Arabidopsis thaliana: one gene and its partner. The protein of the gene in region 2 interacts with the protein of the main gene of each other region in a pairwise test. Each region holds a gene or a part of one and is shown on either strand. Other genes may lie near its edges.

Region 1 (10,871 bases), on a different chromosome or scaffold from region 2:
TATAGATGTATGTGTACGTACATAAATACCGACTGTTTAGTTCTATATATTTGTTCTGTTTTAGACTGTTAGCTATATTTGCTCATATGAACCATACAAGAATTTGATTGTTAAACACATTCTAAATCTGACTAAAAATGCGATTTTCTGTATTAATATAAGTTGAATCTTAAGCAAAATATAGATAACTTATCGGTTTACAGTTTACATGTTATCGACTAGTTTTTGGGATTATTAATTTATAAAAATGAGCAACTAGTTACATCATTAATTACATGTGTTTGTATACGAATGCTATGTGTCGGTTCATCGGCGAGATTTGCGCTCCGAGTCAAATACTGGAAACCAAATATGCATCCAAAGTCCAAAGTAACTAGATTCTTGAATTGATATAATAATATTAGACAATCTCGACAACGTATGTATAATACATGTACGTGTGTATGTGTGCTGCGTGTGCTCCTCTGTCCTTTTGGGTACAATGTATTTCAGAAAAATCATATTTCTGCGTTTCGCAAATTATATAAATAAAAACTTTTTCCTGGTAAAGGTAGTTTGAACCAACTTTTATATTAATTTTATAGCGTCTCTAGCTCTAACTAACTTTGATGTCAGGAAAAAAAAAAGCCTCGAACCAACTTTTTCTGTACAGCGATTCAGTTATACTTTGTAGAGTGTATAGAGACTGCAGTTAGTAATATCGATATAAATTACTATCTTATTCTTACGAGTGTTGATTCATTCATTCTATATAAATATTACTGGGATTTGTGTTTTTAATTGGTTAAGAAAGTCGTAAGAAAAGGTTGCTTTTCGGGATTATATAGTTGACGACCAATTAGTAAAATTAAAAGTATTAATTTGGGCAACTAATGAGGAAATAGATGAAACGTATATGAAGAAAAAGAGGATATATAACAAGAAGAGAGATGGTTCTTCTAGTGAATTTTTGTATCATTGTCATTGTATGATCGATTTCGGTTCGGGTGAGATTAGATCATATCAAATATGATAACTTTTAAAGATATCTATGACTCCTGCAGTGCGCACTAAACCAGCTAGAGTTTTTTTTAATTCCGATCTCATCTATTTTTTTACTCCTTTTTAATTTGTCAACTTTCGGCTGTCTTCCCATGTTCATGTATTAATCAACGATTACATCTTATAACATACGGAACTATGGATCTGGATCCCATCATGTGGATTTGAAAAAGTCAGCGATCTTTCTTATCCGTATAATCGTCAACAGACGAAGGATCCATGTGGAAGACGAATTATTCCAAGAAAAAAGAAAGTATGAAGCATATACACCAAACTGAAATATAACTTAATTTGTCACGTACCAAATTGGGATTGGTGTTTAGGTTTTGACTGAAAGAGGAAGAAGAGGAAATGAAACGTTGTTGGGGATCTTATTTATACACATCCATGATCCAGTTGGTGTTGGTCCCGCAGTTTATTTTGGAAAATAAGATCCCAGTGTCTAAAACGAATGGTTATTCTTTTTTTTCCTAGATCTCCTTTCCACACTTGAAGCCTTCCATAAACCTAATCTAGCTGAACGGTTCCAGCTTTTCTCATTACAGTGCTTTCCCTCCGTTCTCTTCCACTAATTACTTGTGTTTCTCTGTTTCACATACTATAAGTTGTTTTTATTAAACATCGAAAGCCTTGAGAGGATTTATGTAAAAAGAAAAAGACCCAAAAATGAAACTAAAGGAAAATGAAGGTAGTGAGTAGCGACTTTGTAACGGTGTAGATGTGAGTTTTTCGAATCCAATCTTCTGAAAATGACACCGTGTAAAATCTTTACAGTAGCCCAGCCCATTTAGGCCCAACATACGAACTCCGTTCCGTTTCGATTTGAAGTTGTTTTCTTGAAACGTTTTTTTATGTAAATTCAGGACCCTTTGATTCAACAAGTTTGAAAAAATAGGATTTGTTGTTTTTTCATTATTATGGAATTAATGTTGAAAAGTGATAGGAAAACAAAGAAATGTCGATGAATGCGTAAAAGAAGAGGGACAGACCATGATCCAAAGGTCATGATATGTGTCCGATAAAGGGAGAACTAAGTCTCAATCAATATTACTGCCAAAAACATATTTCTATGAAATTTTCTAATCACTTTCTTTTGAAAAGCTAATAGAAAACAAATAGAAAAAAATGATGAAAATAATCAACAAAAAGTGGGGATAGCTTTCTTTCAACCTTCCACATGCCCCATTTGGTATCACTACAAGATGGACAGCCGAGTCATGTCCTTTTGACATTTCCTCTTTGTTTTTAAATTTTATATTCCTCCTTCACTAGTAGAAAAATCTTAGGAATTTTAGGGAGGCTAATTAACAACTTTACGTTTTGGTAATTGTGGAATCAACCATGATAATCTTATATTATTCGATATTAATCAAAATATGGCTTAAATAGTTAAAACTCACACATAAGTCCATAAGTTCCAATTGTATAATATTATACTTTTAATAAATTATATTATATTTATACATATGAATAAAAAGGAAGGTTTCAGGAATTCATGGTTACAAAATGAGTTTAAAAAGATGAACATTTCCCCCAAAACACTAATTAGATCGTACGGTTGGTGAGCCTAAAGAAGTAGTGCTACTAATAAATGAGAATAATAGTTTTTGGTACGACATCCCACAAATCCTTAATGATGAGAGCATAAATCTCGGCATAATCTTCGTTTCAAGAGTTCGAAAGCATATTCATGAATATTCACAAATGATTACGCAGAAAGTCAGTTTGATAGGTAAAGCATCCATAAGCTAATGACTAAGTTTTCATTGTAATCATTGGTTAACATTTTCTCTAACAATGTTAATTATTGAAAATTTAAAACAATTAACTACACTTCTTATCTCCCCTTCTTCACGAGTTTAAAGCGACGAGGTGCTTCCATCATTATGTCTTCTCTTTTTCTTGTTGCTCTTCTTATGATTCGTCTTTAACTCATTCGCCTATTTGTGAAAAAAATAGATTGCTTGAAAAGCATAAAACTAATCAACTGAAAAAATGTATATGCATAATTAAAAATCAATTCATAGAAAAATTCAGTCGTACTTTCGTCAATTCATGGATTTATTTTTTGTTGTAGCTAAAACTTCAGTTGTACTACCAAAACAAGAAGAAGTTCAACGTCTTGTTGATAGTATCATGAGTTGTGAAAACTCACGTGAAAAGAAATGTAACTATGTAATAAAGTTTTTTATAGTATTAATAGAATAAAACTTGCTTAATTGGTGGTGTTATTTATATATACTTAATTAGGCAATTAGGTTTCAAGAAGAGGAAAAAAACGATGGGACGGAGGTGGTGAGTGGTGGTGGTCGGAGCAGACAAAGAAGGGTCCTACAATTTGCCTAACCGTAAAGAGCCACATTCCTTTTTCTTTTACCCCATCCCGTGAGTGAACCCCACTCTTCCTCATTCTATTATTCTCAATCTATATTTTCAAAAATAAACATAAATATACAAACTCTTTGCAGCATAAAGGAATATGTTGATAAAACGGAGCTTTGTTTATGATTTTGTTTCATTATGATATATTTTTTTTAAAACATTTACCAACAATTTCTTAGAAACATAAATTAAGAGCTAACTAGTATATCTAGTATTTCTCGAAACCCAAACTCATGTTCTTAATTTTTTATTTTTTTCTGGAATGTTAATGACTATCGGATATTTGAGTATAATTGTATGAATTTGCTTGACTGTTGCATACTTTGAATCTTTCTTTCTAGTTTACAATTGTGCAAATTAAATCAAACTCGTTTTCAGTATTTTACCTTTTAGTACTATACTTAATTATGTCATCTGTATCAGGTAATAGTTAGAGGAAAGAGGAAAATGGTGTAATATAAACAACAATTATTTGTATGTGAGTTTACGACCATCATCTAGCTTAAAGTACACACCAATGAGAATATGAACACAGTTTAGCTCAACTCATATATGATCTATCCGACATCTTTTCAATGTTTTGGGTCGCGTAGGAGTATCGGAAGCAGCTTAAGACATAGCTATTTAATAAATTGTTGGTATGTTTTATTTATAACAATTATCACAAAATCAAAAGATACTAATCTCGCTGTTTGAGGCAGACATCTGAGAAAACATGTCTTCTACCAACATTCAAGATTTGACAAATCGTTGTTTACGTATTGTTATATTGAGCATCTTACAACAAAAATTTACGTGTATTTTGAAACTCGGAAATCAATCATATCTATTGATATTAACACACAGTGTTTCCTGACTATCGTCGCAGACGAATAATAATAGTAATAATCTTCCACCTCGTGTGATTCTATAATCTTATATTCTTGACATAAATGTCGTCAAAATTTGGTATACATCAAACATGGATCGTGTTTAAAGTAATCATCAAAAATCACCACACGAGAGTAGATTCCCTATTGTCAAATATAGATCAAAGAGAAAACATGTAGGCTACAAATATAACCTAGTCCCTACGAATAAGAAAAATGTCATTATACCACAAATGATAACTGCAAAGTGTGTGTAAATTTTGATTTTAAAAGAAGGTAAAAAAATAAAAAAGATAGATTTGGAAACAATCTTTTACCTCTTTGGTATTGAACATTGTGACAGTATCAATCAGTATGGTACAGAAAAAACGTCAGAGGAAAAGAATTATCAAAAAACGTACACTCTTCATTTTCATTAAAATCTTTTTTTTTTCTTCCAAAAAACAAAAGCAGAAAAAATGTGTCAGAAAGATTTATGCAGCTTTCATTCATTCATCACTTGCACTGTCTCGTGAAGAAAATTAAACTTTTTTGTATCAGAAATTAATTACATTAAAAGAAAAGAAAAAAAAAATTCCCTCCTTTCCAAGTGCGTTTGCTTTGTGGAGTCTCTCTCTTCTCTCTCTCTGTCTGTGTGTGAAGTGAGAGGATCTTTGTTTGGTTCTGCAATCATAATTTCGTGATATACTAAAAAAAATGCAATTTCCTCTTCTCTCTTATAAGCAGAGACCCTACTACTCTTTGATCGAATTTTCCTTGCTCTCTTCTCTTTGTTCTCTCATGTTTTTTTCTCCCTAAATTTATGGGCTTTGCTCTCTCTCTAAGCCACACTCACACTCTAAAGCACTCGTCTTTCTTCTTCTTTTTCTTCAGAAACAGTTATTTTGACTTGAAAAACCAGAGCTTTAATCCTGGATTCATGGCAAAAAGAGCATTACTTTTCTTTTCCTCTCTCACTTTCTTGTTTCATTTGGCTTAAAAATTCAATGATAATTTTGTATTTGGGGGAAAGAAGAAGAAGAACAAGAGTGTGTGATTGATTCAATTCTTAAAAATGACATTTTGGTGTATGTCAATTCTTCTGATTGTTGGGTTCTTATCAAAATCTGAGCTTTGTGAAGCTCAACTAAGCGATGAAGCCACATTGGTTGCGATTAATAGAGAGCTTGGAGTTCCAGGATGGAGTAGTAATGGCACTGACTATTGTACTTGGGTTGGGCTTAAGTGTGGTGTCAACAACTCTTTTGTTGAAATGCTTGATCTCTCAGGGCTTCAGCTTAGAGGTAATGTTACTCTAATCTCTGACCTCAGAAGCTTAAAGCATCTAGATCTTTCTGGTAACAACTTCAATGGACGAATTCCTACTTCTTTTGGCAACTTGTCTGAGCTTGAGTTTCTTGATTTGTCTCTGAATCGTTTTGTTGGAGCGATTCCGGTTGAGTTTGGTAAGCTTAGAGGGCTTAGAGCATTCAACATTTCTAATAACTTGCTTGTTGGAGAGATACCTGATGAGCTTAAGGTTCTAGAGAGGTTAGAGGAGTTTCAGGTCTCTGGAAATGGGTTAAATGGTTCTATACCTCACTGGGTAGGGAATCTGAGCAGTCTCAGGGTGTTTACAGCTTATGAGAATGATTTGGTGGGTGAGATACCGAATGGGTTAGGTTTGGTTTCTGAGTTGGAATTGTTGAATCTTCACTCAAACCAACTTGAGGGGAAGATTCCAAAAGGGATTTTTGAGAAAGGGAAGCTTAAAGTTTTGGTCTTGACACAGAATAGATTGACCGGTGAACTCCCTGAAGCAGTAGGAATCTGCAGCGGCCTCTCGAGCATTAGAATTGGGAATAACGAGCTTGTGGGAGTCATTCCGAGGACAATCGGGAACATTAGTGGACTTACTTACTTTGAAGCAGACAAGAACAATCTTTCAGGTGAGATTGTTGCAGAGTTCTCCAAGTGTTCTAATCTCACTCTGCTGAATCTGGCAGCTAATGGGTTCGCTGGAACCATTCCAACAGAGCTTGGTCAGCTCATTAATCTTCAAGAACTGATTCTCTCAGGTAATAGTCTCTTTGGGGAGATCCCTAAGTCGTTTCTTGGAAGTGGAAACCTAAACAAGCTTGATTTGAGTAACAACAGACTCAACGGAACCATCCCAAAGGAACTCTGCAGCATGCCAAGGCTACAGTATTTACTTCTTGATCAAAATTCCATAAGAGGAGACATACCTCATGAGATTGGAAACTGTGTGAAGCTACTTCAGCTCCAACTGGGTCGAAATTACTTGACGGGAACCATTCCTCCTGAGATTGGTCGCATGAGGAATTTGCAGATAGCACTCAACTTAAGTTTCAACCATCTTCATGGATCATTGCCTCCCGAGTTAGGAAAACTCGACAAGCTCGTGTCATTGGATGTCTCTAACAATTTGCTCACAGGATCCATACCGCCACTACTAAAAGGTATGATGAGTTTGATCGAGGTTAATTTCTCAAACAACCTTTTGAATGGTCCAGTGCCAGTCTTTGTTCCCTTTCAAAAGTCTCCAAATTCGAGCTTTTTGGGAAACAAAGAGCTTTGTGGAGCACCATTGAGCTCTTCTTGTGGATATTCTGAAGATCTTGACCATTTGAGATATAATCACAGAGTCTCCTACAGAATTGTGCTCGCAGTGATTGGTTCTGGTGTAGCTGTCTTTGTATCAGTCACTGTGGTTGTTCTTCTCTTCATGATGAGGGAGAAACAAGAGAAAGCAGCGGCTAAAAATGTTGATGTTGAAGAAAATGTTGAGGATGAGCAACCAGCAATTATCGCGGGAAATGTCTTCCTTGAAAATCTTAAACAAGGAATTGATCTTGATGCAGTTGTGAAAGCAACTATGAAGGAGTCAAATAAACTCAGTACGGGAACTTTCAGTTCAGTTTATAAAGCCGTTATGCCTTCGGGGATGATTGTTTCGGTGAAGAAACTCAAGTCTATGGATAGAGCCATATCTCATCATCAGAACAAGATGATCAGAGAACTCGAAAGACTCAGCAAACTTTGCCATGACCATTTGGTTAGACCGATAGGGTTTGTTATATACGAAGACGTTGCTCTCTTGTTGCATCAGCATTTACCTAATGGTAACTTAACTCAGCTGATTCATGAGTCCACCAAGAAACCAGAGTACCAACCTGACTGGCCAATGAGACTGTCCATAGCTGTTGGAGCAGCAGAAGGTTTAGCATTTCTCCACCAAGTCGCCATCATTCACCTCGACGTTTCCTCTAGCAACGTCTTGCTAGACTCTGGTTACAAAGCCGTGCTTGGGGAAATCGAAATATCGAAACTTCTAGATCCCTCTAGAGGCACCGCGAGTATTAGCTCAGTTGCAGGCTCTTTTGGCTACATTCCACCAGGTATAAAGTCTTAATTTTGTTACCAGTAACTTTATACAAAATCCAACACTTTCCCTTGGTTTATTTCTGCAGAGTATGCATACACAATGCAAGTTACAGCTCCGGGGAATGTTTACAGTTATGGAGTTGTGTTGCTTGAGATTCTAACCTCAAGAGCGCCGGTGGAGGAAGAGTTTGGTGAAGGAGTAGATTTGGTGAAATGGGTCCATGGAGCTTCAGCGAGAGGAGAAACACCGGAACAGATACTCGATGCCAAGCTTAGCACCGTGTCTTTTGCTTGGAGGAGAGAGATGCTTGCAGCTCTGAAAGTTGCATTGCTTTGCACAGACATCACACCTGCAAAAAGGCCAAAGATGAAGAAAGTAGTTGAAATGCTTCAAGAGGTTAAGCAAATCAAATGAGCAAATGAATATATAGTTTCCTCTTGTGACATTCATATACAAAAGAAAACGCATTCCTATATATGCGAGCTTCTCCTCTGTGTATTATATAGGTTTTTATGATAAAATTGATCCGCTTATGGTTGATTTACTTATCCAATGACACAAATTATAAATTAGATCATAGAAGAACCAATGTACATCTTGAGGGAAACTGTTCAACAAAGCATCTGTTGTAGAATCTTAAGATTACAATACCATGTGAAAACCAGATGGCCTCTTTCAATTTTTTACACATCACACCAAAAAGAAACAAGAATTGGACAAAAGAATAAGTGAAAAGAGAAGATAGGAGTAAAAACCTAGGAGGAATGATCTAATTATAGCACGACGGAGATAATTCCGATTTATGATGCTAAAGAATCTATAAAAACGTAACCCAAGACTTTGAAAACCAAGCAAACCTATTTTTGTTATGTTTTGTTTGAGTTCTTGACTGGAATTCAAAGCCAAACATGGTTTGGATCCTGCCGATGATCAACAGCCAGCAGCTTTAAGGAAGTTGTCGTAAGGGCTTGAGGCTGGTAGTCTAAATGCTTGTGGGTTATTTTGTAGTTCTGCATAGCACGGTGACTGAATAGTTCCCACTGGTGTTCTTGGCGATTTCATGTCGAATTCTTTCGACAGTAAAGGGACTTCGACCTAAACAAATTTCAGTAATCAATACAAAAATGGTTAAACAGTTATCTTGGAATATGAAACCGGAGGCTATCCACAGGAATTCATAGCGAAGGCATACATACCCCAGTATGAAATGCTGAATTGATCATAGGATGAAAAGATGCAATCTTGATCTCTTCATCATGTTGTCGTGGAGAGCAGTTAACAGAACTCTCATGTCGTAGCTGAGAATTTAAAAGACTCGAGATCTTCTGCTGTTTTCCCATTAACAGATTCTCACAATGCAGCGTCATCTCTTTGTATGAAGCATCGGCTGCAGTATGGAAGGAAATTCTACCCACTTGACGTGTTGTCTCTACGACCTTCAAACAATACAAAATAAGTATAGTTTATAGTGTGCTGTTACTTTTGATGAAGACTTTGTAATCTAGTTTCTAGGAAGCTGAAAAATGTAACTTACAGATTCTAGAATTTGATTGACGGTCAGGAGGTCTGGGATTTCAGAAAATGTTACATGATTGTTCTTTGTAACGGTTTCGGTGCCATCTCCAAACTCTTGATCCTCCGCGTCCTGAAGACACAGATGCAACATATTTCAATCTTATGTTCAGCTCGAGGTTTTCAGAGAATATTATGGGAAGCAAAAGAAGGAAGTTACCTCCTTTCGAGGTTTAACATCACCAGAATCAATCTGATAGGTTTTGTGGGTATCTTCTAAAAACCGGGTACCAAGTGGACATGCATCATCTGGCATAAATTCTGTGAGCAACTGCTCTCGCATTTTGTCCATTTCAGACTGGAAACAGTTTAACTTTTGTTAGTCTACTGTGTCTATCAATTGATTTATCAAAATATGAATGGTAAGCTCGGGTAGAGTAATTTAGTTGGGAGGTTGTGACTGGGAACACTTACATTGCACATATCTTCTAAGCTCTTGACGATTTCATAGACAAGGGTTCCTCTGCTATGCTCAGTGGACAGTGCTATGTTTGAAAGAGTATCTAAAGCTGAAGCATCATCTTTTTCGCATCCATAAGCAACTTTTAGCTGATCTGAATTTACAGCCTTCAACTTGTGATCGTCAACCAAGTTCAAGAATGGGTCAAGCTGAATCAGGCAAAAGAAGAAGTTAATGAAAAATGGTAAGTAAATTTCTCTCTGTGTATAGAGGCTATCATAGGAATATTGAACATAGAAGTCTGGGGCGACTGTCAAGAGCACGATAATAGTCTTTTTTGGCAAATTGAGTTGCGTGATATTTTACTAGAATGATCAACGTACCCTTGGTCCCTGAAGTGTTACTTTTGTAAAATCCGCCAGAGAAAAAAGATTGAATGCTTTTGAGGAAAAAAGAACCATTGATGCAGCCAGTGTAAAAAGTGACCTTCGTCGAGATGGAGGAAGTGGTCCTGAAATAGTAGGAACAAAATGACTAAGTTTCTTTTAGATGATGTTCAAACATAGCTCTCCCTCGTTTTAAACATAATTTCTATACGGCCATTTACTGCATACATGATATGTCTCGTAGGAAATTGCAATAAGAGTCTACATCAGGGTTTCCAAACCAAAAACCAAGGATAAATATCTAGCAGGGAGGAATCAAAACATGTGGAAGCTCACCTCCTTCCATCAATGAAATATCTCGCAAAGAAAGTGCCATTTGGAAACTTCGAATCAAAGCGTCATGACTTGAGTTCTGAAAGATTCAAATTTTGTGAATGTTTAACATAAAGTTGGAAGCAAATAATTCATACGGAGATCTAGTGAGACTTAGCTCATAGATCATAAAAACAATAAGAAACAGTCAGATGCAGAGATATTGAGGTATGAATATGTTACCTTAACACGAGAGAACAACAATACAAGACTGTAGGTGTTAGCAATTGCCTCATAATTGTCTGGTGTATTTGCAGGAGATATGGACTGTGCCCAGATTGATGAAAGCAAAAGACCTATCTGGTGACTACTTAGTCTTATATGAACAACATCCTGAGGAGCATATAAGAAATATTATTAGAGAGTGAAGATTGATCCAAGGTGTACCTAAGAATTGTAAGCATAAATCAAGAATTTGTATATAATTAGAACCGTAGTTAGTAGGACACACAAATTTATTGTGG
Region 2 (10,871 bases):
AATTTTATTATTTAATGAGATTTGAATCCAAGTAAAATAATTTACACATTTCTCAAAATCCAACTATTACTACGACCACAAGTAATTTGGACTATTAGGTATAAAAATCACTTAAAAACTAAGACTAATAATTGAATAAGTTCCCATAACGAATGTCTCACATCGTTGGTATCATCTCAATTGTTAAATTTGTTTGTTTTATGTTACGTGAAACTACTAATAACTGCACTTTCCGAAAGAAGACAAAACAGTTGATCTCAAATATTTTGTTACCGTCCAAGAGGTAGTTCTTCCATCCTTCAATGACATTGTAAGCACTTCTAAAACAAAATCTGATCAAAACTACTTCAAACACTTCTAATACACAAAAATTGATCTCTTAAACTAGAATGCCGGAAAAAAATATATCTCTTAAAGTAGAAAAATTTCTAAGTGAAATGATCAAATTTATTACAACTTATTATCCAAAGATAAATTGTGGGAGATAAACAAGATGAGCCATTTTATTGAAAATGATAAAGAGGGACGATGAAAATATGTAAGTCTCGTCAGATAATTATTAGGACACGTGTTAAAAGATGAGAAAATAGTAGCGTGAATGACGATAATAACCATTATTTCTGGTATGTATATATATAGCCTTCTGTCCCAAGATGCTCATCACTCACAATATGGACAAAACACAAACTTGGTCTTGAAGAAACCAATACCAAAACCCCAAACCGCAGCGTTTAATCAAGAATCGACTATGGCTTCTACTACCTTACTTCCTTCTACTTCAACCCAATTCCTCGACCGAACTTTCTCAACTTCATCTTCCTCTTCGAGACCTAAACTTCAATCTCTATCTTTTTCCTCAACACTTAGAAACAAGAAACTAGTAGTCCCCTGCTATGTTTCTTCCTCCGTCAACAAAAAATCTTCCGTCTCGTCTTCTCTCCAATCTCCGACATTCAAACCACCGTCTTGGAAGAAACTATGTAACGATGTCACCAACTTGATCCCCAAAACGACGAATCAGAATCCAAAATTAAACCCGGTGCAGAGAACCGCCGCTATGGTTTTAGACGCGGTGGAAAACGCCATGATCTCACACGAGCGCCGCCGTCATCCCCATCCTAAAACGGCGGATCCTGCCGTCCAAATAGCCGGGAACTTCTTCCCGGTACCGGAGAAACCTGTCGTGCATAACCTTCCGGTGACTGGAACAGTACCAGAATGCATTCAAGGAGTTTACGTCAGAAACGGAGCAAATCCACTTCACAAACCAGTCTCCGGCCACCATTTGTTCGACGGAGACGGTATGGTACACGCTGTCCGGTTCGATAACGGCTCGGTTAGCTACGCTTGTCGGTTTACCGAAACAAACCGGTTGGTTCAAGAACGTGAATGTGGTCGTCCGGTTTTCCCCAAAGCAATTGGAGAGCTTCACGGACATTTAGGAATCGCCAAGCTTATGCTCTTCAATACCCGCGGGCTATTTGGGTTAGTCGACCCGACCGGAGGACTCGGTGTCGCTAACGCCGGTTTAGTTTATTTCAATGGTCATCTCTTAGCCATGTCCGAAGACGATTTACCGTACCATGTCAAAGTTACTCAAACCGGAGATTTAGAAACTTCGGGTCGGTACGATTTCGACGGTCAGTTAAAATCAACAATGATAGCCCACCCGAAAATCGATCCCGAAACCCGAGAACTCTTCGCTTTAAGCTACGACGTCGTTTCAAAGCCTTACTTAAAATACTTCAGATTCACATCCGACGGTGAGAAATCACCAGACGTCGAGATTCCGCTTGATCAACCAACGATGATCCACGATTTCGCGATCACTGAGAATTTCGTAGTGATTCCAGACCAACAAGTGGTATTCCGATTGCCGGAGATGATAAGAGGTGGTTCTCCGGTGGTTTACGACGAGAAGAAGAAATCAAGATTCGGGATTTTGAATAAAAACGCGAAAGATGCTTCGTCGATTCAATGGATCGAAGTACCAGATTGTTTTTGTTTCCATCTATGGAACTCTTGGGAAGAACCAGAAACAGACGAGGTTGTCGTGATTGGATCATGCATGACGCCACCTGATTCAATTTTCAACGAACACGACGAAACACTTCAGAGTGTTTTGTCGGAGATAAGGCTAAACCTTAAAACAGGGGAATCAACACGTAGACCGGTTATCTCGGAACAAGTTAATCTCGAAGCTGGTATGGTCAACCGGAATTTATTAGGTAGAAAAACCCGGTATGCTTATCTGGCTTTAACCGAACCGTGGCCTAAAGTGTCCGGTTTCGCTAAAGTGGACTTATCGACCGGAGAGATTCGAAAGTATATTTACGGAGAGGGGAAATACGGAGGAGAGCCTCTGTTTCTACCTTCCGGTGACGGAGAAGAAGACGGAGGTTACATAATGGTGTTCGTTCACGACGAGGAGAAGGTGAAATCGGAACTCCAACTCATAAACGCCGTTAATATGAAGCTTGAAGCTACCGTAACGCTTCCGTCGAGAGTGCCTTACGGTTTCCACGGAACGTTCATCAGTAAGGAAGATTTATCGAAGCAAGCTTTGTGTTAGTTTTAGATTTTTGTAGGATCTTATAAATGTTAATATGAGTGATAGTGATTAGTGACATAGGATTGTTGCCTGAGGGATTGTTATGCATTAGTCCCCGGCAACGAGTTTCTTGAATTTTAGTTATACGTATATACTGTGATTATGTATTATGTATATACTATGATCAAGTGTCCAATGATCCAACTGTGTACAAAGTTTTGTAGTAAAGTTTTAATTTACACACAGAATTTGTTAGCATAAAAATTTATAGATTTGATCAAAACTGATTTATTAAAGATGGTTATTAAAGTAGATTAAAGTGGAGTTATTGTTATAAACGATGAGAAAAATGCATTACTTATAAAAATAGCTAAATATAGTCGACACACTAAACTTGATTATCTTAGAAGGTTTATGCTGATATCTTTTCTATATTATGTAAGCTTCCCCAAATATCTCTGTGAGCTGCATGTGAATGAACTGTGTAGAGCTAGAGAAGCTTCTTATAGAAGGAATTTGACCTTCGAAAATGGAAACCCGAAAATATCTCATGTGATCTCTGTTTTGGGAATGAGGTCTACTTTAATCTTTCTGATCGTTCTTTGTCTTTTTTACAATTATCAACAACTTTTATTTATCTGCTCGTTTTTCGTCTGTTCGTTTTTTGTTCTTCTTGCAATAATTGGTATTACAAATTACGAAATTACCACAATACGAATTATTGTTTTTTTATTCTTCTTCTTTTAAAGTAAGAAATCCATATCCCTATACTTATATTTCGAAATTACATAAAAAAACTAACCTTGTATTTTATAAAATATTACTTAGGAATACCATTAGAAATAGAATTTAAAGGTCCAAACTAATTCAGTTCATTAAAATAAACAAGTCAAAACTTTATTTATGCAATTTAATTATAAACCAAAAAGATGCATTTATGGGTTTAACTTGTTGACAGCTTATTTTATTCATGAATTTACGTTGAGGTTGTTGCGATTTCTACTTTAAGCAAACGGGAAACATCTCACAGTTTTGACTTGTGATCTTTTATCCTACTCTTATTGGTTCTAAAGTGCATACACGTAAGCGTATACATAAGCACTCGCATTTCACAGTAGCCAATCGATTGATTCTAATCTTTGAACATGTAATACACTTCATGGCCACTCTTTTTTTCCGGGAACTATCTTTTTTTTTTGACATGGAAAAAGACCATTTTTTGATTTATAACGTGCATACTGCTGTGTCTTTTTTCTAAATAAATAGTTTTTATCAAATATGTAATCATACTAGGGAAAATCTCATCAAGATCATACGTATTTTTGTACATGACTTTTAAATAGTATATTCGCCGAAAAATACGTTGATGTCTCGGAATTTGACGCCTCAAAAACATTAGAATATACAAAATCAAGTAACGAGTTTGTAGGTTGAAACTAAAATGCCACGTAATACAGTGCGTAGGGTCCATTCGATGTTTCTAGATCAAAGTCTACACACTATAGAGACTTCCAGATACAGATACACATTCGAAATCATCAATGAAAAATAACAATTTAAGTATCTTCTTATCCTAATGTGTGTGTGCTTTTTTTTAGTCAACTATTTTGTGTATATTGTAAGATGTATCATGTTATGACATGAGTATGTTGCTACGTGTCGTGAGATATCGAACCCAACGCAGATATGAGTATGTTGAGCTAGTTTCTTCTTATGAAACAATCATATATGTCTATAATGAATAGATCACATTATCTGCCTGAAAAAAATCCCGTATATTACTCGACGAAATATAAATACCCAATGTAGCTGATTTTGCTTTCTCTGGTGACATATCCAATTTGGCTAAATTTGTTAACTAGTCTATTATAGGTTTATAATAGATCTAGCTATGTTAAAGATACTAAAGCATCAGTTACATAAATTTTTGGCGCGAGTTTATATCTTTTGGAATTAAAAATAAGAGAATTTAAAAATAAGAAGATCATTTTGTTTGGCCACAGGAGTTCTGAAAGGTCAGGTATGATTTTTTTCTTGCTCGCTCTTATGATTTTGTTTTTATTAATGGGTTTTCAAATAAGAAAAACTGTTTTTCGAAGCCCGGTTCAGATCCATTGTTTTTTGTAAAATATAGGCCCAATTCACCATAAGTCCATGACCAAAACAAAAATAAGATAGAACCAATACTGAACCAGGATCTTCTCTCGCTTTCGTGATCAATGTCGCCAAGCTTCTCGAGATCATGTGGTCACGTCAATTGTATAAATACAATTATTGACGTAACACAATCTCTACAGTTCCATCGAAATATCTCGAAAATTTCCAGTTAATTCTGGTAACGTGAACGTATCTTCCACCTCTTCAACCTACACAGCTTTCTAGAAATTTGGCTCGCTTTTCTAAGTCCTCTGTATTTTTTTGCACGTTTTTCAACTAAGTTTCAATATGAATCATTTCTTCTATAAATAAATGATATTTTCATCAGGTAATGATACATTGTGCCGAAATAAAACGTCAATACTCATTAGTCAAATTAATTGTTCACATAATTTAAAACTGTGTTAATCCATCCAGTTATTTTCTTACAACAAAATAATCTTTTCCATCAACTTTTAAAATAATTAAACGCAGTGCTAAGAAATCTAAAATCTTGATTTAGAAATCCATTATGGTTTCTGGTCAACTGAAATCCATAATTTCCTTTAACATCCAAAATCCAAATTTGCTACTATGATAATAGATTTCAGACGATTTTTTTTCTTTTTTCAATCATAGAGTCCACACGAATATTTGCAAGTTACTATATAAAACACTATAATGGTCAACAGATAAAAAAAAGGCGAATGAAGATATGTTACGTAAAAAGAAAATACTGTAATTATAAATTATTACTTTAAAAAGCTTTAAAATCTGGCCACATGTTTTTAAAGAGTGGTGTGACGTAACGACTAGAGTCAGCACAATCCATTATTGTATCATAAATATTCTCATCTATAAATTACCTAAACCCTTACAGGTAGTGTCCCAACCAAACAAATCGAGAAAGACGAACACTTACAAAAAAAAATCTCTTTGTGAGCTTTAGCGATCGTAACAATGGCGAACGAGGTGATTCTTCTTGATTTCTGGCCGAGTATGTTCGGGATGAGGACAAGGATCGCATTGAGGGAGAAAGGTGTTGAATTTGAGTACAGAGAAGAAGATCTAAGGAACAAGAGTCCTTTGCTTCTCCAGATGAATCCGATTCACAAGAAGATTCCTGTTCTCATCCACAATGGTAAACCGGTTAACGAATCTATCATCCAGGTTCAGTACATTGACGAGGTCTGGTCTCACAAGAACCCTATCCTTCCTTCTGATCCTTACCTGAGAGCTCAAGCTAGGTTCTGGGCTGATTTCATTGACAAGAAGGTATCTTATTTCCTTTGTGCCCTTGATTGAATAATGTTGAAATTGAACTTGGGATTTCATAAAAATTGAAACTTTAGTTGAGTTTGCTAGTGATTGGCTCAAATTTAGGGTTTTGCTTGTAGACTCGTCTTTGAGCTTGTATGGGTTTGTCTGATGTTATAATATTACTTGAGTTTGTAGTTGTTAGGGTTAGAGATCTCACCTCCAAATTTCAGATTTTTCTTGTGGACTCATCTCTGAGCTAGTCAGGGTTTGTCTTCTTAGATAGTTTAATGTTATGTTACTTGTGCAATTTGAGGTTTTTACATACTAGTTTCGCTAGTAGATATCATCTTTGAGCTTTGTTTGGGTTCATCTTAGATAGTTTGATGATATGTTTCTTTTGCAATTTGGGGGTCTCTAGGACTGGTTTTGCTTTGTAGACATCATCTTTGAGCTTTGTTTGGGTTCGACTGAGTTCTGACATAGCTTGGTGTTATGTTACTCTGTGCAATGTTTCAGCTGTATGATGCTCAGAGGAAGGTGTGGGCGACAAAGGGTGAGGAACAAGAGGCAGGGAAGAAGGATTTCATTGAGATACTCAAGACTCTTGAATCTGAGCTTGGAGACAAACCTTACTTTAGTGGCGATGACTTTGGCTATGTAGACATTGCGTTGATTGGATTCTACACATGGTTTCCAGCATACGAGAAGTTTGCTAACTTCAGTATCGAATCTGAGGTTCCGAAACTGATTGCTTGGGTTAAGAAGTGTTTGCAGAGGGAGAGCGTGGCTAAGTCCTTGCCTGATCCTGAGAAGGTTACTGAATTCGTCTCTGAGCTCAGGAAGAAATTTGTACCTGAGTAAATATGTTTCTCTTGTCATATGGTTCGGACTTAAGATGCTCTCTGTTTTACTTTCGTGTGTTGTCTTTCTTAAATAATGCAGAGCATCTGTGAGGTGGTTTGAGTGTAGAGAATGTATGTCTTTGCTGTAGCAGATTCCTGTGTTTTCTGGATTTAATGGCTTGTCCTAGTTTTTATGCATTGTAACTATGAGTTTAATTAATGATCGTTAATCTATAATGATTATTAATTTGTTACTTTGATATGTAATTACGCCAATACGACTCTTCTACCTGACCAAGCTTATCACGCCAATGTTGCTGTAAAAGACAATAGTGCAGTTTGGCGATTAAAACCTCCAACATCGAGAATGGTAAGCCGGTCTGGATCTAATAAGCCCAAATTGGCATCCATAAGCCCAAATTGAAATTGGCATCCATAACTCCATATTGTAGTCAATTGGAAGTTATGTGGTTGATGTGATCATTAGTGTCGGTATGATCAGATTAGCCACGGGTTTAGTGTTTCTTGCCGAATTTGAATTCGGTAGATCAAATAACATTACTATGATCCGCACAGTTCATGGGATTTGAATTTGATTTACGATTACAACAACGATATTAACACAGAACTATCCTGTAATTTTTGGGATCGATTAGTAAATTTTAAAATATTATTTCAAAGGCTTTATATATATAAAGAATTTAGAGTATAAACATAGATAAAGCATTATGTATTTATAAATCTTATGCTGATATTGAAAAAATAATGGTGTATGTGATATATTTAATAGAGTGCAATACTCTCTCAATAAATTAGTATAGCTGTTATCACTCCTTGTGTAAATGCGTATTTCTTGTACATGCATGGTAAGTAGCTTGTCCTCGTATGTACCGGATTGTAATGTTTGATATCAAATCAAGGGAATCACGTGGTAAATGTACACCCACCTAACTGAGAGATAATAATACAAACAACTGTGAGTAGGTGGCCACGCCAAAAGTAGAGACTGATGCAGCAACTAAGCAAAGTATTACTTCACTCGATCAACTTTTTATTTTGTTACCTTCTTATAAATCAAGTCGATTTCTATATTGTCAAGTACTAATTCCATTCTAATCTCTTACATATACGTTTAAGGTTTGAATCAGAGCAAAAGATAATCACACTCTTTTATATTAAGTGATGTTTTCACTAGTTGCACACATATGACAATTATTTAACAAAGTTGCAAAATACATTTTAAATCGTTACGGGTAAAAGCTTACTGTTTAAAAGATTTATATATGGACCATAATATGCTTTGAAAAAAGCTGATGTGACGTAACGGGAATCAAAATCCTTTCCACATCATTTTCTTCCCCTATAAAACAACCGTCACTCACTCCTTCTCTACTATAACACACACTCGCTTGTTCACGCACAACAAAAAGCAAGAATATATACCACTTTGTGAACTTCAGAGATCCTATAGCAATGGCGAACCTACCGATTCTTTTGGATTACTGGCCAAGTATGTTCGGGATGAGGGCTAGAGTTGCGTTGCGAGAGAAAGGTGTTGAGTTTGAATACAGAGAGGAAGATTTCTCGAACAAGAGCCCTTTACTCCTCCAGAGTAATCCCATTCACAAGAAAATCCCGGTTCTGGTCCACAACGGTAAACCGGTATGTGAATCTCTTAACGTTGTCCAGTACGTCGACGAGGCTTGGCCCGAGAAGAACCCGTTCTTCCCTTCCGATCCTTACGGGAGAGCTCAGGCTCGATTCTGGGCTGATTTCGTGGACAAGAAGGTAACTAATCCCTTTTGTGCCCTAGATTTCTTAACTTGAGTCTGAAACAATGTGATTTAGGGTTATCTGAAAAAATGAGTTTGGTTCCTTCTGACATAATTCGATGTTCTGTAATGGATTCAGTTCACCGACGCCCAATTCAAGGTATGGGGGAAGAAAGGTGAGGAACAAGAAGCAGGCAAGAAGGAATTTATTGAGGCAGTGAAGATTCTTGAATCTGAGCTAGGAGATAAACCTTACTTTGGTGGAGATAGCTTTGGGTATGTAGACATTTCCTTGATTACATTCTCGAGTTGGTTCCAAGCCTATGAGAAGTTTGGTAACTTTAGCATCGAGTCAGAGAGTCCGAAACTGATCGCTTGGGCAAAGCGGTGCATGGAGAAAGAGAGTGTGTCTAAGTCTCTCCCTGACTCTGAGAAGATTGTTGCATATGCTGCTGAGTATAGGAAGAACAATCTCTGATTTGAATAATCTTGTTGTTCTCTTGTTGCTAAGCTGTGTTCTGTTTTTGTCTTTGTTTTTTTTTTTCCCCTAATAATGCGAGAGAGCCTTAGTGAATGTGTGTTGTGGTTTTTATGCATCCTAAGTATGGAATTTAAATAAAATTTGTTTCGACTTAAAGAGTCCAAGTATGAAGTCACATCCTTTTCAAAAGAACAAACACAAGAAAAAGTTGGAATTCTTTTTTCTTTTTCTACTTGTCTAGTACCGCGTATACGAAAATAGTATAACACCCAGCAATTAATAAAGTAGATGGCCACGTTACAATCATGCAAGTAGTGGCTCTGCAAACATAAGATAAAAAGAAATTGGGTTCTCAGCCACTTTTGGGAGGACATGCAGACTAAAGCACTCTCTAAACTCCGCTTAGAGGGAAAACAAAAAGACACCTCTGATCTATTATCACTATTATTAGGGTTTTTTTGTTTGTTTTTCTTTTCTTTGCTTCTTAAGAGATAATACATTGATCACTAACATAAAAGCTGGTCAGTTCCCTTACTTTGAGGCTTTGAGTGGAGACTCCACTACGGTGTGGCTCACACCAACAGTTTTTCTCTGATTATCCTTTTGTCATCAACTCACCATTCACCGAATAATATAATTTATACGTGTGATCTTTGTTTCGAAGATCAATACAATTCTATTGTAAAACATATGGTTTCGGTCATTCGATTGCTAGAAAAGAACTAGTCAAAGCTTCATATCGTTATTGCATTACTGTCATCACCATTCATAAGTTGTAAGAAGAATAGCAAAGAGGAAAATTTGTATTTTTCATCACCAAAAGAAAGATTTGCATACCTTTGATTTACACTCTGCAATTGTTTAAAAGGGGACTACTGATGATATTTTTAACAAGCTGAATTTAGTACAATATAGTGATATATACACCATTAGCAGCATTATAAAGCTACTCTCATTAAACTAAGAATGAAGGAAATAATAAACTTACCAAAATTTAAAATTGGTTTAATATGGTTGGCCAAAAGGTTCAGATGCTCTGTTTCGAGTAAAAATCACCGCCAAAGTAATAAAACATCCCTTTCACTATCCTGCTTGTAATTTTTTCTCTCGGCAGAAGATGACATCATTCATCAATAACATATTTTATAACCTTGATTTATCAGACTGCTATTTTCTCAAAAGGTACTTATCAAACTACTATGGTAAAATATTTATGGTTTCTATAACCACCACTAGCATTATTAAACTACTAGTCTACGAGATATCATAACGTTACCATAAAACTAATGAAAGAAATGATAAAAATTCCACACTTTGATATTTTTTTAAAAGGTTTAATATGATTGACCAAAACGTTTAATAATTTCGAATGGACATGTTACCCTTATTAACAGCCTAACGATGCTACACATTTTAATAAGATACGACTCAATAGAAAAAGCTTCACGGATCGAAACCATGGCAGCCGAAGTGATCCTTCTCGGTTTCTGGCCGAGCATGTTCGGAATGAGGACGATGATCGCGTTAGAGGAGAAAGGAGTGAAGTATGAGTATAGAGAAGAGGATGTGATCAATAACAAGAGTCCCTTGCTACTAGAGATGAATCCGATTCACAAGACAATCCCGGTTCTCATCCACAATGGTAAACCGGTTCTTGAATCCCTTATCCAAATCCAATATATAGACGAGGTTTGGTCTGACAACAACTCATTTCTCCCTTCTGATCCTTACCATAGAGCTCAAGCTTTATTTTGGGCCGATTTCATCGACAAGAAGGTAAACAACAAGTGTCATTAAATTTCACTGTCCTTGACTGTAATTTGTTTTTG

The links. Proteins that work in one complex are often made in the same cells at the same time.
Region 1: the proteins of GSTU19 (region 2) and AT2G41820 interact in a protein complementation assay, tested with the Arabidopsis thaliana proteins (one large-scale study listed by BioGRID).

The regions. Positions count from the first base shown.
Region 1 is NC_003071.7:17,441,824-17,452,694, forward strand, and holds AT2G41820 (Leucine-rich repeat protein kinase family protein), read left to right. Parts: upstream 1-4,920; 5' UTR 4,921-5,346; coding exon 5,347-7,690; intron 7,691-7,762; coding exon 7,763-8,091; 3' UTR 8,092-8,285; downstream 8,286-10,871. Other genes in the region: AT2G41830 (Uncharacterized protein), read right to left, coding at 8,608-8,772, 8,874-9,113, 9,212-9,322, 9,410-9,547, 9,664-9,858, 10,033-10,160, 10,372-10,447, 10,591-10,740. UniProt on the Arabidopsis thaliana protein: Leucine-rich repeat receptor-like protein kinase that may play a role in vascular tissues development.
Region 2 is NC_003070.9:29,482,596-29,493,466, reverse strand, and holds GSTU19 (glutathione S-transferase TAU 19), read left to right. Parts: upstream 1-5,459; 5' UTR 5,460-5,647; coding exon 5,648-5,962; intron 5,963-6,463; coding exon 6,464-6,808; 3' UTR 6,809-7,080; downstream 7,081-10,871. Other genes in the region: NCED9 (nine-cis-epoxycarotenoid dioxygenase 9), read left to right, coding at 599-2,572; GSTU20 (glutathione S-transferase TAU 20), read left to right, coding at 8,263-8,577, 8,701-9,039; GSTU21 (glutathione S-transferase TAU 21), read left to right, coding at 10,501-10,818. UniProt on the Arabidopsis thaliana protein: Catalyzes the glutathionylation of 12-oxophytodienoate (OPDA). In vitro, possesses glutathione S-transferase activity toward 1-chloro-2,4-dinitrobenzene (CDNB) and benzyl isothiocyanate (BITC), and glutathione peroxidase activity toward cumene hydroperoxide.